2 linked regions of the Stegostoma tigrinum genome follow. The protein of the gene in region 2 binds, or shares a complex with, the protein of the main gene of each other region. Links are inferred from orthologs where the notes say so. Each region holds a gene or a part of one and is shown on either strand. Other genes may lie near its edges.

Region 1 (11,160 bases), on a different chromosome or scaffold from region 2:
GGTCATCTCACCCAGTCATATTAGTTTCCCATTCTCCCACCCCATTTTCAGTAACTGCGGGTGGTAATTCTTGACATGAAAGCCAGAGTGGTAACATGGTGACTGCAGCTCATGGCTTGTTCCTCTCGCCCTCCCATCGGTCACTAATGTCTCAGGACATGCTTTATGGGCAGCGACCACATACATCCCATCCAACAAGATCTCTTGATCCCCATAAGCAAAGTATGATACCAAATACTTTCTTTGACATATGTGGGACAAAAAAAATTAATCATTCAGGGCATCTGTGGGCTGCTAGCAGTTGACTGGTGCACAGTTAGGCTTTAACAATGCTCCTGGTGCCATCAATCCCAGGAGGATCTTAGCTGTGGCTAATACTTCCAACCGTGATGAATGAAGAATCTGATAAGCAAGGGGTCATTGGGGAATAACAATTGGGTAATGAAGAAAGTTTGGGAATATAGAACAAAAAAACTCACTCAGGCTTGCAGAAATAAACCATCCATGAAAGTTACTAAAATTGATACTTAGCAGATTTCTACTATGATTGAGCCTATTATCTTTAATTATGGCTAGTCTTACGAATATCTATTTATCCAGTTTTAGCCGAACCATATCTCAACTGCCTCCTCTTTGACTATGATATGGACACCACCTTCTTCTTTATTCAAGGCAAATGTAAGGTGCACATTTAGTACCTCAGCCATGTGCAAATTCACTTTTTTACTCCTAGTCTACCTTACTGTTTCTTTTACAAGTCTTTTACTATTTATATACCATGTAAAATGCTTATATTCCACTTAATGTAACAGACCTTCAACCAATGAATTCTACCATTTACTATTTGCTATTTTCCATAGCTAATATCTATAATGACCACTTTCCCCAAAATGATTCCTCCTTGAGACTTGATCCACTTGATCTACGATATAAAGGTGCCAGTAGTGGTCTGGGGCGGACAAGTCAGAAGTCATATGACATCATGTTTTCATCCAACAGGTTTATTTGGAATCACGAGCTTTCAGAGAGCTGCACCTTCGTCAGGTAATGTATGAAGTATCATACTTCACCTGACGAAGGGGCAGCACTCCAAAAACTTGTAATTTCAAACAAACCTGTTGGACGATAACCTGATGTCATGTGACTTCTGCATTTTATCTATCTTATTCCATGGAACCAAAGCCAGCAATCTTTCCCCTCCAGCTGGGCTAGAAACATACTAATCTATAAAATTCTTCCAAACACACTTCAGATATATTTCCATTTTTTGCCATTGAAGCAGTCGGGAGAAAGGGCAGGGAAGTGAGGAGTGTCAGATCAGCCAGAATCTTATTGAATGGTGGACAGGCTTGAGGTGCTGAAAAGCCTTCTCCTGTTCCTATTTCTTGTGGTCTTATTCATATTGTTACTACCCCAATCAGTACTAACTTAGGAAAATTAAAGTTCCATTTTAACGACTGCAAAGGTTTTTTTTCCATAGCATGGTGACATCACGAACAATGCCAACATCTTTTGACCATCTCCAGTTGCCCTTGAACTGAATGGCTTGCAAGCCCCTTTCACATGGCAGTCAAGAGTCAATCCTGACGTGATTCTGGAGTCGCATTTAGACCAGATGAAGTTGATAGATTTCCTTCATTTAAAGGGGTTTGGGGCACCAAATAGTTTTATTTAAAACTATCAGTGATTGTTGTCATGGTCACCATTACCAAGGCTTCCAGATTTAAAAGTTAAATTTTAATTTCATCACCTGTCATGGTGGGGTTTGAACGCATGGCCTCAGCCCATGTCTCCAAGACATTAGTTTGAACTCTGGATTACTTGCCCAGTAGCATTGTCTCTACACTACAATCTTGCCAGGTCCTCATTTTGCAACACACTAAAATTTACTTGCTAAGGGTTTTCATGTCAATCTTTACCACTAATTTCTGGCTTACAGAATACATCCTGCAGTGTTCTGGTATGTCTACTGTTCCTGAACTTGAGCTGAATAAATTGTATTCCTGACCCCTCTGGTATATCCTCTCTCTCGAGCAATCATGTTGTGGTAACATGTAGTTGACTGGTAATCCAGAGCCCCAGGCTAATATTGCCAGGGTTAGGGGGTTCAAATCCCACCAAGGCAGACTGAAATCTGGATTGAATTAAAATCTAGAATAAAATGCTGACCTAATGTCAACCATGTAACCTCTATTAATTGTTGTTTAGGGATGGAAATCTACCAGTCTTACTTGGTCTGGCCTACATCTGATCCCAGACCCACAGCAATGTATTTGACTCTAACTATCCTCTAGGCAATTAGGAATGTGCAGTAAATGCTGGTCTGGCTTGCAACATCGACATCACCTGAACAAATTCTCCTTAAATCAATATTGACAGGCCTCTTCCTTTCTTTTATTCCTATTTTCCTAAATATGTTGCATCCAGGAATATTTAAATTCACTTTTTTGGAGTCAAATCTCCATCATTATATCATATTGTCACACAGATATCTGCACCTGTAGTGAAACATCCTTGTTTACAATAATCCCCACCCTCATGCACATGCATTTTTAGGGCCCACTGCAGATCCTCTTATGTTAATTCAGTTGCATGCCTTATTCCAAATAGCGTTTATGCATTACCAGTACTATCTAAAGGTTCTGTAAATGTATTTGAAGTTTGCCTTGGGGAGGGTAAATGGTGCATGCTCTTGCTGACTTGAGCTAGTTTGCATTTTCCTTCTCCTTATGGCAGTCAACCAAGCAGACAAGAGACTACAACTATTGAGAAGGTAAAGTTGACCATGAGTGATCCTAGGGTACCTTCAACAGACCACATCAGTCTCTCGTGACTGACAAAATCTAGAATGCATGTTAGAGCTGCATGCATATCATGATCTCAACTTAAACAGAATAATAACCCACTGCATGATAGAAATCCAGACAAAGAAAGAATCACAACAGAAGTTCAAAGCAAAACAACAAGGAAAAATATGCAGTACAGCTTTTCAGCGTCTGAAAAATAGAGTAATTCAGAACTGTAACTTAGTGCAAGGAGAGTCAGCTGTGCAAATGTTTGGCTTGCTCTTTGCTTTCCAAGTCCTGAGAAGCCCTTGAGTATTCCAAACATTTTGTATTTTTCTTTCAGATTTCCAGCACTTAAAAAAATTTGGAACATAAATTCAAAATCCAATCTGTCCAATGGTGTTGATTGTAAGAATGCAAGCAATATATATATAATATGTATATCAGACAGCAACATTTCAACAATTCAGGTAGTTTAATTTTCATTAACAGACAATTGTATTAATTAACTGCTTTCTAAAGGACTGTCTATTAAGTATAGTGAATATACTATAAAAGTTCACCTTCGACTATTGATAAATGTTTTGTATATTATGCCACAGTTCTCAGAGTTTAGTAATTTAGATTAAACCTCAGGATAGACACTTTAGTAGTTTGGTAATAAAAAAAAAATCAGACAATGATACATTTAATAGACTGCTGAACTGTAGACGTAAATTTATGAAGAATGATAGTTGTGAGAACTTGACATTGTCCCCATGTCTGCGTGGGTTTCCTCCTGGCATTCCGCTTTCCCCCCACAGTCCGAAGATGTGCAGGCTAGGTGGATTGGCCATGCTAAATTGCCCATGGTGTTCAGGGGTGTGCAAACCAGATGGGGGAAATGCAGGGTTACAAGGATAGACTGGGTCTGACTGGGATGATTTTCAGAGGGTTGTATAGGCCTAATGGGCTGCCCTCACACTGTCGGAATCCTATGACTTTGCTCACAATGACACTGATACATAAACTGCCTTCAGTTTGTGAAATGTGGGCAGCCAAGTTGCGTTGGGGTTGCAGTACAGCACCGCAACGGTGAATGATACCTGTGGGTATGAGCTGCAGTACTGCGCTTTTCCTCTTGGCGGTACTCTTGCATAGTGGAGGACAGCTGTGTATTGCGATAACCGCGGTCATAGTGCCGGTGGTATTTCTGATAGAAAGGTAAAGACAGCGAAGACATTGTGGGCCGTAAAATCCAAACTGTTCCGGATCGCCTGTACGAAGTCTTCAGATCTATTCATAGACAAATAAAGGCACAGTCAGGGACAGAGAATAAGGAAAAAAGTTGTTCCATTAATCTGAAAATTGATCAAACAATAATGAGTGAAGCCAGCTCCTGTAAAGAGTGAGAACTGTGCTAATTCGAAAATATAGGGGACGGGCAGTCTCCGTCGCCCAGCCTGGTCTGCTTCCTGTCCTTTTCTGGTCTGATCCATGAATGGCCGAAGCAAAGAGCATTCAAAACTCCGCAGCTAATGTTTCAAAGACATATAAAGTAACCAACAATGTGCAAGATTGCGTTTGCATAATACATTAATAAGAACGATAAATTATAATAAATACCGAGGTATTAAAATCCGTGGCATATTTCAAAATGTTTTAGTATATATGCAAACCTTTGTGTGAAATAAAATGGGATCTATTTGAATTACCCCTTAATGATTTTAAGTGACCCGATGTCGTGCTGATAATCCCTTACAATAATCACAATGTTACAATTACAGATAACACGTTCCTTAGCTGCTCCGACTTCATTGCATTAAACATCTCATTCTCTTTTTTTCCTATTTCAAAAACACCACGAAAAATATTCTGACATAATTGCAGCCAATTGGATTCTCTTCGTGTGAAAAAAAATTCTTAGTTCATTCTCATTTTTAGACTTGTTCTTGTGCAAAGACTTTGACCCTGATTAACGATCACTACCACATTTTTTCTGACATGTCTCCGCGCTGAAAGTACATTTAGAACTGCAGCGATCAGCTGCTGACTGGACCCCACTTAATAAATCAAATTACCATTTAAATCTCGGGAACACCGCACGTTATTGCTAAACGGATGCACGAACACCGAGCCCTTACCAAATGTCAAATGTTTCTTGTGAGTTTTGGTGAAATGCAGGCGATAAGGCTCTGTATATTGAATCGAGGGAGGCAGTGGGAGGGAGAAGGCTGCAGACTCGGCTCCAGGGTTCAGTACAAAAATAATGTATCCCGTCAGTGGAATGTCGAAGCCAGAGTCCCGACCTTTTATGGCCAGGAGGATTGATAAATATAGCACTCGGAGCAAGCGAAGTTAGTAATCACCAACTGTTAGTAATTCAACTACAGGTAAAAGACTTTCGGATGCAGTTGACATCAGATTTTTAAGTACCTGAGTTCAAAGTTCCAAGTCGCTGAGCTGTTTTATCCCGTCGCTTCTTAAATCTGATATATTTCACTCATATTGGACACCCTCTGTACCTATCACGGGATTGACAGTTGGGAGCTGGACCTTAGTGATTACATATATCTACATACATATACATATATATTTGCGGAGGTGTGGTTTGAAATGTATAGAGATGACTCCATACATTGCCGAATGGACCGTAAATAAACCCACAGTGAAGAAAGCACCTGTGAGGGGAACAATGGTACGAACACAACAGGCAAGCAACAAGCGGTGAATTGCACAAGCAACTGTACGCATTAATTTTAAAATTGGAAATGCACGATTAGTAGATTATTAAACAAAAAACCTTTCTGGCTCAACTTGTTTTACCTACAGCTCCCTGGCGTAAAGCATTTACAATAATTAATTGTGTACTTTAGAAATGAAACTTTCAATAATAGTGAGCTGGGAGGTGATACTCCAAGCACTGTCTTCTTCAAGTTTGCCTGTATTGTTATTGTCTTTTTCTTATCACTCTCTTGACTAGATATGATGTGTTATACAAACGTTTGTACCATCTTGTTGTTATTTAAGCCAATGATCATTCCTAGTGTAATTTCTATAATTGGCAGCTCCACCTCACTTGTGCAGATTATTTTCTTCATTTGCAGTGTATATTGTGTACATGCATGACCAACAAATATTATCCATCCTTAATTGCCCTTGAGAAGGTAGTGATTAGTTGCCTTCTTGAAAAATTGCCCATTGTAGTTAGATCCACAATCCTTTCAGGGAGGGAGTACCAGCCTTTTGACCCAGGGAATGAAGAGCCATCAATATATTGAATTGGAATTAGCCAGTGGTCCTTCTTCACCAGAAAAAAAATGGAGACTTTCCAGAAAATCTGTTGTTTTATTAGAATCTATTTCCATGTTATCACTTCCCAAGCCATCTCTATTGAGTTCAATTCTGCCATGAGATTCACCTGAATACTCAGTCATTCTCTTTGTCCAATTACTACCAAGATCATTGATGACTCCTTTATACTATTTTGCTTCCCTTAAATCCCACCATTATTTCTCATCTCAAGAGGTGCACTAGACACATCTTTCTCTTAGAACCTGATGAAGGGTCTAGGCCCGAAACATCAGCTTTTCTGCTCCTGAGATGCTGCTTGGCCTGCTGTGTTCATCCAGCTTCATGCTTTGTTATCTTGGATTCTCCAGCATCTGCAGTTCCCATTATCACTTTCTCTTAGAATGCTAACTTTCCTTCAATCTTATTTCCCAATCCATGTTCTTGAACCCATTGGCACCAAAAATTGGCTCGTTGAATCAATACAATTTGGTTGCCACACTGCCTGCAGGTTACAGAATAGGCACAAGATTATTATCAATATTAAGGCCCATCAGTTGTTGCTATAGGTTGAGATGGCTGTGAGTTTTTATTTTGCCAAATGCTGACTTTGTGGAGATATGATTGAGTTCAATGAAATAACAGAAGTATTTGTGTTGAACCAAGAGGATTCGAACCATTTCAGTTGGTAAGAAGAGTGTACTCCAGGCAATGTTACAAAAACATAGAAACTGCTTTTTGCAAACAATGGCAACATCTGGAATAAATTTCTGGTATGACTTCAAAGTCCTCATTTACTGTTCAGAGGATGTTAACTCATTTCTGACAGTGCTAACATATCTGTATATAGAAGACTTGTGGTTTCTTGATCTCCCAAGACAAGTAAAGAAGTTGGGATCCCTATAGTTTCACACTTCATAATTTTGGAATTATTAACGATCTTGCAAGTAATGCTAAAGCTACTTTTTCACCATGAATGCTTGGTACTGAAATAAGGAAGATTAAAGTTATCCTGCAGAATAATGGCTACAATGATCAGATCACTTCTCACTGTATATCATGTAAATTCATAGAACACTCTAAGATTGTTAGTCCTAAAAAGTACACAATCTAAATTACATTACCTGAGACGGGTAGGGAATCTAAAGGTGGTGAAGCAACTGGTGAAGCTAAATGTTTCATGCAGGTATTATACTGGAACAACATGGGTGGTGTTCAGAAGATGCTGTTATCAAGTCAAAAATCTGTCCTCCTGTCATACATGGTAGCTCAGTGATTATCACTGCCTCACAGTGCCAGGAGCCTGGGTTCAATTCCACCCTTGGGCGACTGTCTGTATGGAGTTTGCACATTCTCTTAGTGTCTGCATGGGTTTTCTCTGGGTGCTCTGGTTTCTTCCCACAGCCCAAAGATGTGCAGGGTAGGTAGACTGGCCATGCTAAATTTCCTATAGTGTTCAGAGAAGGGTAGTTTGGGTGGGTTATAAGGGGATGGGTCTGGGTGGGATGTCTCAGGGTCAGTGTGAGCTCGTTGGGCTGAAGGGCCTGTTTCCACACTGTAGGGATTCAATGATTTTATAAATCAATAACGTGGTATATGGATTTCAGTGCTGCTATGCATTCCAAGGATTAGTGAAACATATCAAACGGAATATACTGACAGGTATTCACCACAAGCAAAGTGCTGACTGTACCCAGCTAGCTCATGCTAAAAAACTCACAATACAATGATCATTGCTAAATAATCCTTGAGTGTGTGAAGAATTATGTTGACAATCAATTTAAGATTGTCAGTCAGGCTGTGTATGGTACATTTGTGTGTACTGGAAACTCCATATGTTAAATTGTTAGCCCATTCTGAGAAAGGGTCACCAGACTCGAAATGTTGATTCTGTTTTTTCCTTTACAGATGCTGCCAGACCTGCTGACCTTTTCCAGTAAATTTATTTTTGTTCCTGACTTACAGCATCCACAGTTCTTTTGGTTTATATCCATATGTTAATATGCAGGACTCCGTTCTTTGCAGATAGAATGAACATATGCCCACATGGTGTCTGTTTCATCTCAATAAATAGGTGACAGTCTTGGGCTCATTTCTCAGGAAAATGCCATCACCAATCAGGGTCAATCTGCTTGAAAATTTAAACAAAGCCTGACAGTTAGATGTTAGTCATCCTTATTTTCTATATTCTCTATGGTAACACTTCTAGCAAACAGATTTTGCTTGCCCACAAATGAACATTCTCCTTTCATGTAGGAAATGATTTCCTGCTTTATCACGTAACTGATATTTCTTTGAATTTTCATGATGAGTGCAAAACACAAAGTTTCAATTAAATATGTCTTTTATACAAAAATATTTAAATTCTGTACTGCCAAATGACAATTTAGTTTGACTGGTAATCAAATATTTTCATGATATTTTCCAAATGGCTGATGATCATTACTATACAAGGAGTTTTATATTGATTGGATTCTTTGAATTGCTAAAAACCCTGATAACAAAGGATGGCATTTGGACTTTTGTAAGAAAAAGTTTTAGCTTAGAAAATCACAAAGTAGAATCAGAATTGATCGAAATTAGATATAACAAATGTAACAGTAATTTATTGATCCCTAATAGTTGTTATAGATACTTTGATCAGCCTGTTCAGAGATGCTATGTCATGTCTCTGTAGCAGGTGAGACTTGAAACTGGGACTTTAGGCCCAGTGATAAGGACACCATCACTATATCACAAGAGACCTCAAAACAGTAGTTATACCATTGGATAGAAAATCAAAGCTAAGAAATTATTAGAACTTGTAGCAAAGACAATGTAACAGAGGCTGGAAAAGCTCAGCAGGTGTAGCAGCATCTCTGAAGAGAATTTAGAGTTAACGTTTCAAAACTAGTTCTGAGGAGGGGTCACCGGACCCAAAACGTTAACTCTGATTTCTCTTCACAGATGCTGCCAGACCTGGTGAGCTTTTCCAGCAATGCCCATTTTTGATTTAAAGCATCTGCAGTTCTTTTGGTTTTTATTTTGCAATGTAACAACTGTCAGAGATTTTAATATTCAAATAGATTGGATCAATCAAAATGATTAGTGTGATATGGAAGCTGAGTTTGTAGAATTTTGATTGGCGAATATAAATCACACTAAATCATTCCTTATCCATTTTTGCAACATCGGAGTTGCTTCATCATATTATTGTTTTGTGTGCATACACATACAGTTATCCCCATCTGCAATTCATACCCAGCCAGTTGACTGTAAATAGAATGAATTTATAATTTCCATTCATCTATTAATCTTTTAAATACCTCTGCATGATGAGAGCATGTTTTAACTTTGGAATGTTTATTTGCAGACACAAAGGATGGCTGTGGTGCAAACAGAAATGAGAAGCAACAACTGGAGTTTGCAAAGAATTCATTGAAGTATTATTAGCAGGAGGCAGTCGGAGGTCGATATCTTAATTATAGATTACACTCCTTTCTGAATACTTTCGTAAGTTCATTTTAAAACTCTTTAAAAATAAAAAGTCTTACTTTTAAGCCAATAACTGTTCTTTCTTAAAATACAAATGTAAAACTTTCTTGTACGTTTTAAACGTAACAGGCAAATTCTAGCATGCAGGCATTGCTATGTGTGAGTATGTTTATTCTTGATTTTTCACAATACTATTGCTTTAGGACATTTGAAGGAAAAGGAAATGCAAATTCTATCCTTTACCATTGTTGTCTGTGTATTTATTGGTACAGCTTTGAAGACACTACATTTTTTTTTATCTTTTAGAAATGCTACAATGTTCTTTATTTGAGGGGAAATTAGATCATACAAGTGTTGTTCCAAATTCTGTTCTGTTTCACAAGCACATGACCAGACAGGACAACAATCAAGTCATTGTTTTCTGTAGGGTGTTGAAAAGTTTTCTTGAACATCATAGTAATTGAGGTTGTTTTCATATGTATGAATCCAGTGCAGGAAAAGAATAAAGAATACCAAGATATGAGCGAGGCAAAAGAGTAGGTCACTCAGTTGATCTGATTTTAACCTCAACTCAACATTCCTATATGTCCAGGATAATCTTTCATCCTCTTGGTAATCGAGAATTGGTCTACCTCTGCCTTAAAAATATTTCAAGGTTCTACATTTTACTCCTTTTCGAAAAGGGAATTCCAAAGACTCTCAACCCTCTAAGCGAAAAACGTTTCGATATCTCTGTTTTAAATGGGTGACCACTTATTTTTAAACTATGACTGCTAGCTCTATATTCTCCCACAAGAGGAACCATTATTTCGACAAACACTTGGTCTAGTCCCCTCGGGATCTTCTATGTTCCAGTTAAGTCACCTCTGACGATTTTAATCTAAAATGAAGATAGCAGTAGTGAAGCGTAGTGCTATGGGTAATGGAAATCTCAGTGCAATAGAAAAGGTGAGTGTGCAAACTTAAGTATCAGACAGGACAGAGACTTTCGAGATAATAGGCATCAAGGAGTGAGATGAATGCATGGAATAGAAATTAGAATAAAAGTGAAGTCACTTCATCTGAATACATGGAGCAATAAGATTGATGAACTAGTGTCAGACTTAGAAATAAACAATATAGACCCAATCACTATTATAGAGATATAGTTAAAATCTAAGAGATTGGGAAATAAATATTTTAGTATATACAGTTTGGAAAGACAATCAGAATGGATAAGGAGGAATAATAGCCTGACCAGCAATGGATGATACATTGATAAGAAAGGATCTGCCACAGAAAACCAGGACATAGAATCAAAATAGTTGAAGATTAGGAACAGATTGGTGGGATTAGTTTAGAAGTCTCAGGCAAGAGTTGGACCACTGAACAGAGCATTGAAACAAGAAATGTTTGGAGTTTGTGACAAAGGCAGTGAAATAGTTATGGGGGACTTTAATCTTCATAATCTTCAAATTGGTAAAAAAAGTGATTTGTGAGAGGAGCTGGTATATATTTGTTACAAAGAACCTGGAGAAATGTGTTGTGGAATCAATTAGGGATAAAGCTATTTTCGGTCTAGTATTGTGCAATGAGGCGGAATTAAATATTAATACTAAAGTCAAAGATCCACTGGAAAAAGGTGCTCATT
Region 2 (11,733 bases):
TCTTAGTCACTTTATCTAGCTGTTCCACTGATTTAACAGACTGGTGTACATGCACACCAAGGTCCCTCTGATCCTCAGTGCTTCTCAGGGACTGACCATTCATAATTTATTCCCTTGCCTTGTTTGTCCTGCCCAAATGCATCACCTCACATTTCATAGATTCATTTATCAATTGAGTTCTATTTACCACTGAATTTCGTTCACCCCATCTGACTGACCTGTCTATATCATCCTGTAATTTATGGCTACCCTCCTAGCTATTTACCACCCTACTAATTTTCATATAACCCACAAACTTACTGATTAATCACCCTCCGTTCAAGCTTACATCATTAGTGACAGGAATGAGCAATTTCAGTAATTTTTTTTATTCTTTAATGAGATGTAGTCATTTCTGGGTGGACTAGCATTCATTGCCCATCCCTAATTGAGTTGAGAGTTAGCCACTTTGGCTGTGGGTCTGGTGTCACATGCAAACCAGACCAGATGAGGATGGCAGATTTCTTCCCTAAAGGGCATTAGTGAACCAGATGGTTTTTCCTGAAAATCACCAATGGTTTCATGACCATCATTAAACTCTTAATTCTAGATTATTATTGAATTCAAATTCCAGCATCTACCACGTTGGGATTTGAACCCTGTTCCCAGAAGGTTTCCTGGGTCTCTGGATTAATAGCCTTGCGATACTATCACAGGGCTGTCAATCAGGAGAGATTGAAGTAATTAGGTTCGTTCTCCTTGGAGAGAAGAAAGCTGAGAGAAGATCTGATCGAGGTTTTCAAAATCGTGAATGGACTGGACGGAGTTGTTAGGGAGAGTTGCTGCTACTCAGAAGAGGAACAGGAATGAGAAAGCATAGATTCAAAGTGATGTGCAAATGAAGCAAGGGTTATATGAGAAAAGACTTTCTCACACAGCAAGTAGTTAGGGTCTGGAATGCATGACCTGGAAATGTGGTGGAGACAGCTTCAACTGAAGCATTCGAGAGGGGCTTCGGATGATTATTTGAATAGAAATGGTGTTGCAATCTGGGGAAGAGGTGGAAGATTGGCAGTAGGTAATAGGACCTGTGCAGGCACGATGGGTTGAATGGCCTCTTATTTCCCACTCAAAGAATTGGCCCTTAAATCACCTTTAGCAGCAGCCATTGTTCATCTTAAGTTCCCGGACATGATTAATACTGTAATGATGCGCAGGCACAAACCTTTTCTCATTTAGTCTGTGCAAGTACTGACGGTCACAGAATCCTCAAATTCTTTTCCTGTCCCTTTAAGTGGCTTGATGGCCTCTGGAAAGATTGAAACAGCAAGAATTGTATTTTTAATTCATTTCTGCGGTGTAGCTAGGCCAGCATTTATTGACCATTAAAAGTAAAAGTCAACCACATTGCTGTGTTTCTGCAGTCACGTATAGATCAGACCAAGTAGAAAAGAGGGACCCAGGGGTTCAGGTACATAATTCTTTGAAGTTTGCATCAGATATAGACAGGGTGGTCAAAAAGGTGTTTAGCATGCAAGATAACCAGGTGTACAGCTGGATGAACACAGCAGGCCAAGCAGCATCTTAGGAGCAGGAAAGCTGATGTTTCGGGCCTAGTGCATGCTTGCCTTCATTGTTCAGTCCTCTGAAAATAGGTTTTGGGAAGTCATGTTGAGGTTGTACAGCTTCTTCTGGAACACTGTGTCCAGTTCTGGTCGCCTAGTTATAGGAAGAATATTATTAAGCTAGAGAGGGCTCAAAAGAGATCTTCCAAAATATTGCCAGGTATGAGTTATAAAGAAAGGCTGGATAGCCTGGGCCCTAGGAGGTTGGCGGCACGGTGGCTCAGTGGTGAGCACTGCTGCCTCACAGTACCAGGGACCTGGGTTCAATTCCACCATCAAATGACTGTCTGTGTGGAGTTTGCACATACTCCCTGTGTCTGCATGGGTGTCCTTCTGGCTTCCTCCCACAGTTCAAAGATGCGCAGGGTAGGTGGATTGGCTATGCTGTAGTGTCCAGGGATGTTTGGGTTAAGTGGGTAGACATGGGAAAATGCAGAGGTAGGGGAATGGGTCTGGATGGGAAGCTGTTAAGTGGTGGTAGGGGAGTGGCCTGTTTCCACACAGTAGGGATTCTACGATTTGAGAAGTGACCTTCTAGAAGTTTATAAAAAAAAAGTAAGTTGTCCAGATAAGGTTAATGTTAGTTGTCTTTTCCCAGGATGTGGAATTTCAAGACAAAGGGACACATTTTTAAGGTGAGAGGAGAGAGATTTAAAAGAGACATGAGGGGCAAATGTTTAATGCAGAGGATGGTTTATGTGTGGGATGAATTTCTGAGTAAGTGATGGATGAGGGTTCAATTACAATGTTTAAAAGACATTTGGATAAGTATGTGCATAGGAAATATTGGGAGGGATATGGGCCAGGAGCAGACATGCAGGACTAGTTTAGTTTGGTATTATGCTCTGCATGGACTGGTTGAACCAATGGGTCTGTTTGCATGCCGTATGACTCTAAAAAGTGCATGTAAGGACAGCAGATTTTCTTTCCTAAAGGACAAGTAATGAAGCTGATTGATTCTTTTCAATATAGTCACTAATAGGCTTTTAATTACAGATTTTTATTGAATTCACATTTCACCATCTGCCATGGTGGGGTTTGAACCTATACCCTGAGAAAATTAGCTTCTGATTTTAGCTTAATAGTCGAGAGACATTGACATTGCTGACTGCCCTCTGTGCAGTCAAAAGACCCCTGTCACTTCTCCCTTCCATTCTCTTTCCAATTGTATAATGCACACGGTAACACAGTCTCTGCTGCAGTCCCAGAGATCCGCTTCACTAAAAGGATCTATTCAAAAACTGCCAAACAGAAATCGGTTCCTTTGGGGATGACCTTGCTTGTTTTCTATCACATATGTTCTCCATGTCAAGCAGAAATACAGTCAATTCAGAATTGCTGTTGACTTCAGTAGGCTTTTTTAAAAAAAAATGGTGGGCTGTGCTAATTTCTGGCTGGCCAGTCTGTAATTACTATTGAGAAGGTGATAGTGAGCTACTTGCTCCAATCGTTGCAGTATTTGTTCTGCCGAGACGGAGTTCCAGGGTTTAGAAGGAATGGCAGTATATTTCCTAGTCAGGATTATGAGTGACTTAGAGGGGAAATTGCAGATGATGGTCCTCCCAGACAGTAGTGAACATGAGTTTGGAAGGTGTTGGCTGAAGAGCCTTGATGAATATCTGCAATGCATCTTGTCAATTATGCACACTGCTGCTATGAACATCTGTGATGGAGGGAATGGATGTGTGTGCATGTAGTGCCAATCAAGCAGGCTGCTTTGTCCTGGATCAAGCTTCTTAAGTGTTTTTGGAGCTGCACTAAGTCAGGCAACTGGAAAGTATTCCTCCACGCTCCTGACTTGTGCCTGATTGATTGTTTCAAAGGGAAGTTAAAGAGTCAACCACATTGCTACAGGCCTGCACCTGAACTGGTTCCTGTATAAAGGCAACACAGTGTCTAGTTTCAGTTCTGCATGCTCATCGTTCATTCAAGTTTACTCAAGACAGATCCATTCCCTACTCTCTGAAATTGGCCTTACTCCAGTGAAGTATTTTACCCTTGATTTTGTCTTGATCCTCTCTATGCTTAATCAAACTCTTATTATACTGTGACCTCAATGTCCTAAACATACTGCCTACTGACATCTGATCCAATTGAGTCACTTTATTCCCTGGAAACAGATGTTTCAGAGTCTGAATCATAACTGTCATGAAAATTCCACAAACACACGAATGGAACCCTTCCCTGTCTGTGCACTAATAATATTCCAGAATTGGAGAGCCTACGCTGAACACATTGAATCACTAAAGAGGTCCCAGCAGTGTCACCTGCACAAGATCCTCCAAATCCAAGAACAGGAAAGGATGACTAACATCAATACCTACTCCTGCCGTTGAGAGGCCAGTCTTTCAAAACCAGCATCACTGGGCAGTACATGTTACTCGTGAGCCTGACCCCAGATTCCAAATGAGACTGCTCAATTCAAGGCCTCCCTGAAGAGATCAAACATCCCCTGATGACTCATGGATACCCTAGCTTGTGAACAACCAAAAGGGAGAAGGTTTGCTCTGGAAGATGCCTAAGACATTGGGAGACTCCATTGGAAAGGTGCAGAGCTGAAGATGAGCTGTCAGAGGGAACGGCATAAACGCATAATCACCCATCAACCCAACCTTCTAAATGCAGCAGAAGCTGCAGATCAAGCATCAGTCATTTCAGTCATTCCAAAAGCCATCGAACCCTGGCTGGCAACAAGCTAGAAAAACATACAAACCAGGGGCAGGAGCAGGCCATGTGGCCCTTGGAGCCATGTTCATGCCTTTTCCCCATGTCTCTTGTTGCCTTTAAAATCTAAAAAATATCAAAACTGAAAGAACTGCAGATGTTGTAAATCAGAGACAAAAATAGAAATTGCTGGAAAAGCTCAGCAGGTGTGGAGAGAAATCAGATTTAACATTTCAGGTCGAGTGACCCTTCCACAGGAACCCCTCTGAGGAAGGGTCAATCCTTTCCGAAATGTTAACTCTGCTGTCTGTCTACAGATGCTGCCAGACCTGCTGAGCTTTTCCAGCAGTTTCTATTTTTGCCTCTTAAAAAAACAAACTTTTTTGAATATATTAATTTCAAATCGCCCTCATACCTGAGGGGTTGTCAGAGGATAAGGAGACGGAGAAGATCCCAGGCTATATTAGGACAGAGTGGACTACAGAAAACCTCTAAGAGCACTCAACATGTGGCTTGACTGGGAGTTAATACTATCATATGATCCCTGCCCAACCTGCTGCATTCCATTACACAGACTCTTGACATGATCTGATATCTCTTTAAGATTGTTAATACTCTGAAAGCACTTCACAACCACTTCTTTTTACAACACAGAATGGCATGGGTTTGATCATTTACTTACCAGCCAGTTAGCTGAGAATTCAGGGCAGGGATGGGAAGCAGTTTGCCTGTCAAGTGTTTCTTCCTCTGAGATCCCTACACTCCTCTTTGCAGCTTATTCATTAAGATGTCGTCTCCATGAGTCTCATTGTTAACAGCGGACCGTCCTTAGGGGAGGCCCTTTCAGCAGCAAGACTGTTTTAAATTCCGTGTGCAACTACCCTCCCCCGTTCCCCTCAACCATGCTCCAGTCTCTTACTCCCTCCTGCTCTGCTCTGCAGCTCATTGTTTGAAGGAGCTTATCCAGCTGTCTCCTCTCCCAAAATAACCCCTGCCATCATGACCCGACAACACCAATAGGAGCTGGACTGGTGGTTGGCAGTGTGTGGATGGTTGAGACCATAGTGGGAGGGGGATGCAGGGAGCAAAGGAGGCCACCATCCATTGACTGGCCAGCCTGCCAAGAGAAAGTTGACTGGTTGGGGGAGTGTGGGGCTGCAGACTAAGTAGGAGGATCAGTGACTGCAAATCCCGTTCAGGAATTCGAAGACCCTTATCTGTGCTGTGGCAGAGATTCAGAATTAGCTGAAGCCAACGAGGTGTTACGTGTCTACGTTTAAGTGACATTACAGAAGGATCTCTGCTGTCTTAGACAAGCAATGTCTGGGAGGGGGTGAGAGTGGATGGTGGAGGGGGATGGTGGGACAGCCGACAGAATTAGAAAGATTGAAACTGCCTTGTCATTTGATACGAAGCAGCTGAACAGAAGTGTGGAAGAGCTAATTGGACTTGGCTCATACACTGCTCCTACGAGTTCGAGCAAGAAAGCGGTCTTTGCATTTATATAGCACCTATCACTATTTTGGAAAGTCTGAATGTGCTTTACAATGATTTAAGTACTCCTGAAGTGCAGTCACTGTTGAAACGTAAGGAATATTGTGATCAGTTTGGACAGAGCAATATTGTAATGGACAGAGCATTTGTGCAGCTTTTTTGGAATTTGAGGGATAACTATTGGCTAGGACACTGGGGACAACTATCCTGCTTTTCTTTAGAGCAGTGCCATCTGCGAGAGCAAGCCTTATGTGCAGCACTCTTTCTGTACTGTGGTAGAAATGTTACAAGCGGGCATACAGCATAGGAGCAGAAATGGATCATTCCACACCTTGAACCTGCTTATCATTCAATAAGATCGTGATTGAACTGTTCGTTTCAAATTCCTCCTTCCCATCCACTCCTTTGATTCCACTGCCAAACACAAAGCTACTCATCTCGGTCTTAAAAATATTAATTGACCCCAAGTTCTAAAGTCACACAACCCTCCAAGAAAAGAAATTCTCCTTGACTCTGAGCTAAAAAGGTGACTCCTAATTTTTAATTAGAACCCCCTAGTTCTGGACTGGCCAGCAAGAGGAAACATCTTTTCCATGTTCACCTGGTAATAACCATTTAGGATCCGATACACCTCAATCAAGTCACTCCTAATTCTTCGGAACGCCAGTGGGAATAAAGCTAGCCTCTGCAACCTTTTATCATAAGACAACCTGCGCATTCTGGGTATCAGACTGGTATACCGCCTCTGACCCTCCAGTGCCACAGCTTGGATTTATGTGCCACAGGCATTTAGCACTGTGTTGATTGTGGAATGTTGCTGTGCAGAAATTGGACTAGCATGTTTCCTGCAACAATGATTGCATATCATTGGCCAGAAGGTGTTTTCGGATGCACTGAGGTTATGTTAATGTGCTATACAAATACAAAGCTTTTTCTCCTAGTTCCACCACGTCTGACACACCTTACCCAAGTCTCACTGCTGTTCTGCACTGTGGATGGTTTGTATCTCCAACCCTCATCTCATTAAATACTGGCAGTGAGGTACCTCTCAGGGAGAGACCCTGCATTTAGATGAAATGTTCCCTCTGCATGTGGTGCAATCCGAGTGACAGTAACGAGTGATTGGAGAATGACATTGAGTTCAGTTCTCTCTATATATAAAGACATTTATCAGCAAAGTGCTGATCCCTCTCATGACGTTAGTTCCCTGGAAATGTCGTTTGGCATTCTGTGGCATTGCTCACTTACTAAAGATTTCTTTAATGTTGCAGCCTCGATATCCAGTCGGGCAACAGCAGTTTCTTTGGGGGAGAACTCAGCCTGTGCAGGGACCAAAATGTGTGCTACCTATAGGATCACACTGCAGTAAGAGATGCATCACATTTCATGCTGGTTAAAAAGCCCAATTGAACGGGAGGACATAAGAAATAGCCACAGAGATAGGTCAAGGCCTCAAGCCTCTTTCCCCATTCAACAAGATCACAGCTGATCTGCCCCGGCCTCAACTACTCTTTTGTGCCATCTCCTCATATCCCTCACTTCCCTGATGTTTCAAGAATCAGTCTACCTCCTCATCAAATACTTTACTTGATCAATTCTCCACCGTTCATTAGGATAGGGAATTTCAGGCATTCACTAGCCTCTGGGAGATAACATGAGGCCATATTTTAAATGCAGCTTTACATGCAAGGATAATAAAATGTGAGGCTGGATGAACACAGCAGGCCAAGCAGCATCTCAGGAGCACAAAAGCTGACGTTTCGGGCCTAGACCCTTCATCAGAGAGGGGGATGGGGGGAGGGAACTGGAATAAATAGGGAGAGAGGGGGAGGCGGACCGAAGATGGAGAGTAAAGAAGATAGGTGGAGAGGGTGTAGGTGGGGAGGTAGGGAGGGGATAGGTCAGTCCAGGGAAGACGGACAGGTCAAAGAGGTGGGATGAGGTTAGTAGGTAGCTGGGGGTGCGGCTTGGGGTGGGAGGAAGGGATGGGTGAGAGGAAGAACCGGTTACATCAGTTGCCATTCCCTTGTTTGGTCACTTCAGAAGTCAGTTGAAGCCACCATGTCACCATAGGATCAGGAGTCACATGTAGGCCGGAGGGTTCCTTGCCTAAAGGGCATTAATGAACCAGATAGGTTTTTACTGCAATGATAGCTTTGTAGACACCATTACTGAGATTATATTTCAATTCAAGCTTAATTTGAATTGGGTTTACCAGTTGAGTGTGGGGTTTGAACCAATTTATCCCAGAGTATTTGACCAGGCTTTTGATTATCACTGGAACATCGCTGCACAATCAAGAATGACAAAAGTCCCAATTTTAAAAAGCAGGAGAGCTTTCCTTGGTGTCCTGGCCAATATTTATCCCTCAATCAACATTGCGGCCCCAACTTTCCCACATTACAAGAGTGACTACTCACAAATACTGCGAGCAGCCGCAAAACACCTTGGGATTTACTGAGGTCATGAAAGGCACTACAGAAATGCAGGTAGTTGTTGTATCAATGTGGGCTAAATCTCACTACACTGCAATCTCCACATTGTATACTGAGGGAATGGTCAAACTCTGACAGGCTTCAGATCCATGGCTAAAAGAGAATCACAGCTTCCCATCCCTCCTGAGAACTCCTTTGGAGGTGTTTTCGCATCAGTGAAGATTTGGTTTGACCTCTCCCTGTCCCTGAGATCAGTCTTTCTTTGAATTTCAGCCATTGGCTGCTGTTTGAGGCCAAAATATGATATTCTACAGCTAGAGTTTTGTGCTTCTGTGAGAAGATAATTCAAATCAGGAGACCCACGTCATTCAGCTAACAACAGTCTTAGAGGCCGTGCCCAATGTCACCAGACTATCAGAGTTCTGATAGTGGCAACTCTGCGCATTCACACTGAAGAGCTCAGTGGGGAGAGAGAGAGAGAGAGAGAGAGAGAGAGAGAGAGAGAGAGAGAGAGACAAAGAGCAGCAGGGTCAGGGGGCAGGTCACCAATCAGCACAATCAGGGTGAATGGCAAGTCTGTCAGCTCGACCTGCCCTCCAAGCAAGCATTTGAGGGTGTGTCTGCTGGGATTGTAGGAGTTTTGAAGATCACACTAAAAGGACATTAGTATCATTCTCTCCTTGTCGAACTGAGTCTCTCCTCGACTCTGTCTGTAATGGTGTATTCTCTTTCTAACTAACCCTATTGTGTTAACTCTGTTCCTCTGAGTGCCTGTTGCTTGTATTGCATTTTCTTCAGTGCCTTTGTGCCTCTTTTGCTTTTTGCCAGTTTCAATCTTTCAGTCTTATCCTCTGTCTGAGTCTCTCAGTCCCTCTCACTCACATTCTCCTCTTGCATCAGTATCTTGTTTTGTCTCATATTCTGTATTGCTGGCTCTTTCTTTCTGTCCACTGTGTTTGTGTCCATCTCTCCTTTTGTCTCTATATGTGGGTGTATCTGTGTGCATGTATCTGTGGGTGACTGTGTCTGTGTGTATATATCTGTCCGTGTGCATTTATCTGTGCATGTGTCTCTGTGCCTGTGTGTGGTGTGAGTCTGTGTCAGTGTGCATTTGTCTTCCTCCCCGGTTACACTGACTCAATTCCACTCTAGCTGTCTGACAATCTATCTGTCTCAAACACTTTGATTTTATTCTTTCGGTCTTCCTGCATTCCTGTTTTTACTGTATCTGTGTTTCTATCTCTGTCATTGGATCCCATTCTCTCATTTACCCTCATCATTCTGTATCTGAATCATTAAATTCCTGCATTGTCTTAGAACCTCCCTCGTAATCGCTTTCAAGTTAGTTATCTTGTTTAGTGTTTATCTTCTACTCTGTGTACGTATCTTATTCATTCTCCCCCTCACTCTGTCCCCCTCTGTCCCAATGTTCCAGCTTCATGCTTCCCACAAACTCCCTGGTGTCCCTTTATTCCTGAGCTTGTTGTGGATGGTGCTACTGATTCTGATGTTCCAGGCCCCAATGCTGGAAAGTGCCTGCTCAATGCACAGCATGAGTGAGGATGCAATCATTGCAAAGGTGCAGGAGAAAATTCTGAGGAGCCTGGGGCTGACTGAACCCCCAGAGAACTGCAATGTAACCAGCCAGGAGCTGCATAATCCGTTCAAAAACCGCAGACTGACACGGCGCATCACCCGCTGGATTGGACATCACAAACCCAAAACGGACAACGATAAATCGGAGGTCATCTCATTCCCCATAACCAGTAAGCTTTCTTTTGGCTTTCATAAAACAAATACGTAAAAATAGTATCATTTTGTATGTCAGGATGATAAATCCTGGCCACACTGTTTCACAATGTCAGCCATACCTAAGGTACTTTTCAACCAATTAAGTACTTTTTGAAGTGTCGTAATACATGCAGTACAACATCCGATTTCTACAGGAAGCTCCCACAGACAGCAGTGTAACGATGACCTGATAGCCAATTTGTAGTGATCATAATAGAACGGAGGCAGTGATATAATGTAATGTCACCAGACATTAGTAAATCAGAACCCCAAACTAAAGGGGTCAAATCCCATAGCAGATGGTGAAATATGAATTCAGTTGAGAGAAGATAGCCTAATGAAAACTATGTACCGTTTAAAAACCCATCAACCGCTTCCCTTTAGTGAACGAAATCTATTGTCCTTACTCCGTCTGGTCTCTATCTGACTCCACATCCACAGCAACATGATTGACTCTCATATGCCTTCTGGGTAATAATTTCCAGGTGTTGTCCATTTCTGTTTAAGTACACATTTTCCCAGGAGACTGGTGTGAACTGCTCCCTGCTCTTCTTGGAAACAGATGCTGTGAAATCCTTTATGGCCTCCACTTAGAAAGTGGATAAGCTTGACATATCATCTGAAAGAAAGTGCCTCCAAACAGTGTGGCAGTCCCTCAGTGCTCCAATGCCAGACTAGATTCTCAGTCTCTAAACGGGATCTTAAGACCACCACTGCTGGAGTGAGAAGTGAGTGGGTTACCCACTGACCTGGGAGCCCATACGCACATAAACAGCACGAGATGTGGTTAAGATAATAGGATTAAGCAGGTGGCACAAAATTTGGGTGTGTGGTTGGGTGGTTTATTTTGAAGACATAATCAAATGAGAACGGGAACTGTCAAACAATGTTTGATATTTGCAATAAACAAGCATGGAAGCAAAACAAGTGAATGCAAATCATTCGGTTTTACACAAGTTTTGGCTATTTTATAACTCATTCCGCTCAATCTTCCCTTCCCCCCCCATACTTTTATTTTCAGACATACCGTGTGATTTACAGTATGAAGGATTCGTGGGCAATTACAGTTACGTCTTTCAGCCATCCCTGCACTCCCGTCGCAGCCAGGTGACCTCTGCTGAGTTCTGGTTTTACGCCGGGGTCCAGTTACCCCCAGGTGCTGACCCCCCCACTAAACTGTACTTCCTCACTGAACCTGGCAGCTTTGCCCAGGCAGCAGAGAGCATGGCAGTTGAAGGACAGTGGGTAATCTTTCATATCTCCCAGTCCTTCCTCTCATATATCTCGCACAAGATACTTTTCCTTCAGGTCAAGTGTGCCAATTGCCAGTGTGTGAGGGACCAAGTGAATGTGCCTTTCATCCTGTCCACAGCGAAGAACTTGGGTCCTTCTCGATCTAGACGCTCAACAGTCCCTTGGTCCCCCGCATATGTCAGTCTCCTTCAGAGGCCACCATCTCCTGAACTTATTCATGACGATTGCCATCGTTCTGCCGTTAACATCTCCTTTGAAGAATTGGGATGGGGCAACTGGATTGTTCAACCCAGTGTCTTCACCTTCTACTACTGCAATGGGACCTGCTCCAACTCCAACCGGCTCACCTCCAGCCTCGGCCTCAAGGTTTGCTGCACCTCAGTCCCAGGGACCATGAAGCCCCTGAGAGTGAGGACAACGTCCGACAGTGGCTACACTTTTAAATACGAGACTATCCCAAACATTATCACCGAAGAATGTGCCTGCATTTA

Evidence for each region.
Region 1: the proteins of obsl1a (region 2) and myom1b are in contact, whole or in part, in a crystal structure (PDB 5FM5), measured with the Homo sapiens proteins. The link is inferred for Stegostoma tigrinum from reciprocal best matches to the Homo sapiens genes OBSL1 and MYOM1. Residues at the interface, in NP_056126.1 of Homo sapiens: Pro243, Lys253, Phe255, Val257, Asn258, Gly260, Lys261, His262, Ala263, Lys264, Phe265, Arg266, Cys267, Tyr268, Val269, Met270, Gly271, Lys272, Pro273, Pro275, Trp279, Lys305, Tyr308, Tyr317, Cys319, Ala321, Arg322, Asn323, Ser324, Ala325; in NP_003794.3 of Homo sapiens: Arg616, Pro617, Ser618, Ala619, Pro620, Trp621, Thr622, Gly623, Gln624, Ile625, Ile626, Val627, Thr628, Glu629, Glu630, Glu631, Pro632.

The regions. Positions count from the first base shown.
Region 1 is NC_081358.1:81,827,092-81,838,251, forward strand, and holds the start of myom1b (M-protein, striated muscle), read right to left. Parts: upstream 5,309-11,160; 5' UTR 5,202-5,308; exon of another isoform or gene 5,171-5,201; intron 5,055-5,170; exon of another isoform or gene 4,847-5,054; intron 4,062-4,846; 5' UTR 4,009-4,061; coding exon 3,872-4,008; intron 1-3,871. UniProt on the Homo sapiens protein: Major component of the vertebrate myofibrillar M band. Binds myosin, titin, and light meromyosin. This binding is dose dependent.
Region 2 is NC_081360.1:102,224,347-102,236,079, reverse strand, and holds the start of obsl1a (obscurin-like protein 1a), read right to left. Parts: upstream 5,272-11,733; 5' UTR 4,951-5,271; intron 1,289-4,950; exon of another isoform or gene 1,133-1,288; intron 1-1,132. Other genes in the region: inha (inhibin alpha chain), read left to right, coding at 9,624-9,963, 11,010-11,733. UniProt on the Homo sapiens protein: Core component of the 3M complex, a complex required to regulate microtubule dynamics and genome integrity. It is unclear how the 3M complex regulates microtubules, it could act by controlling the level of a microtubule stabilizer.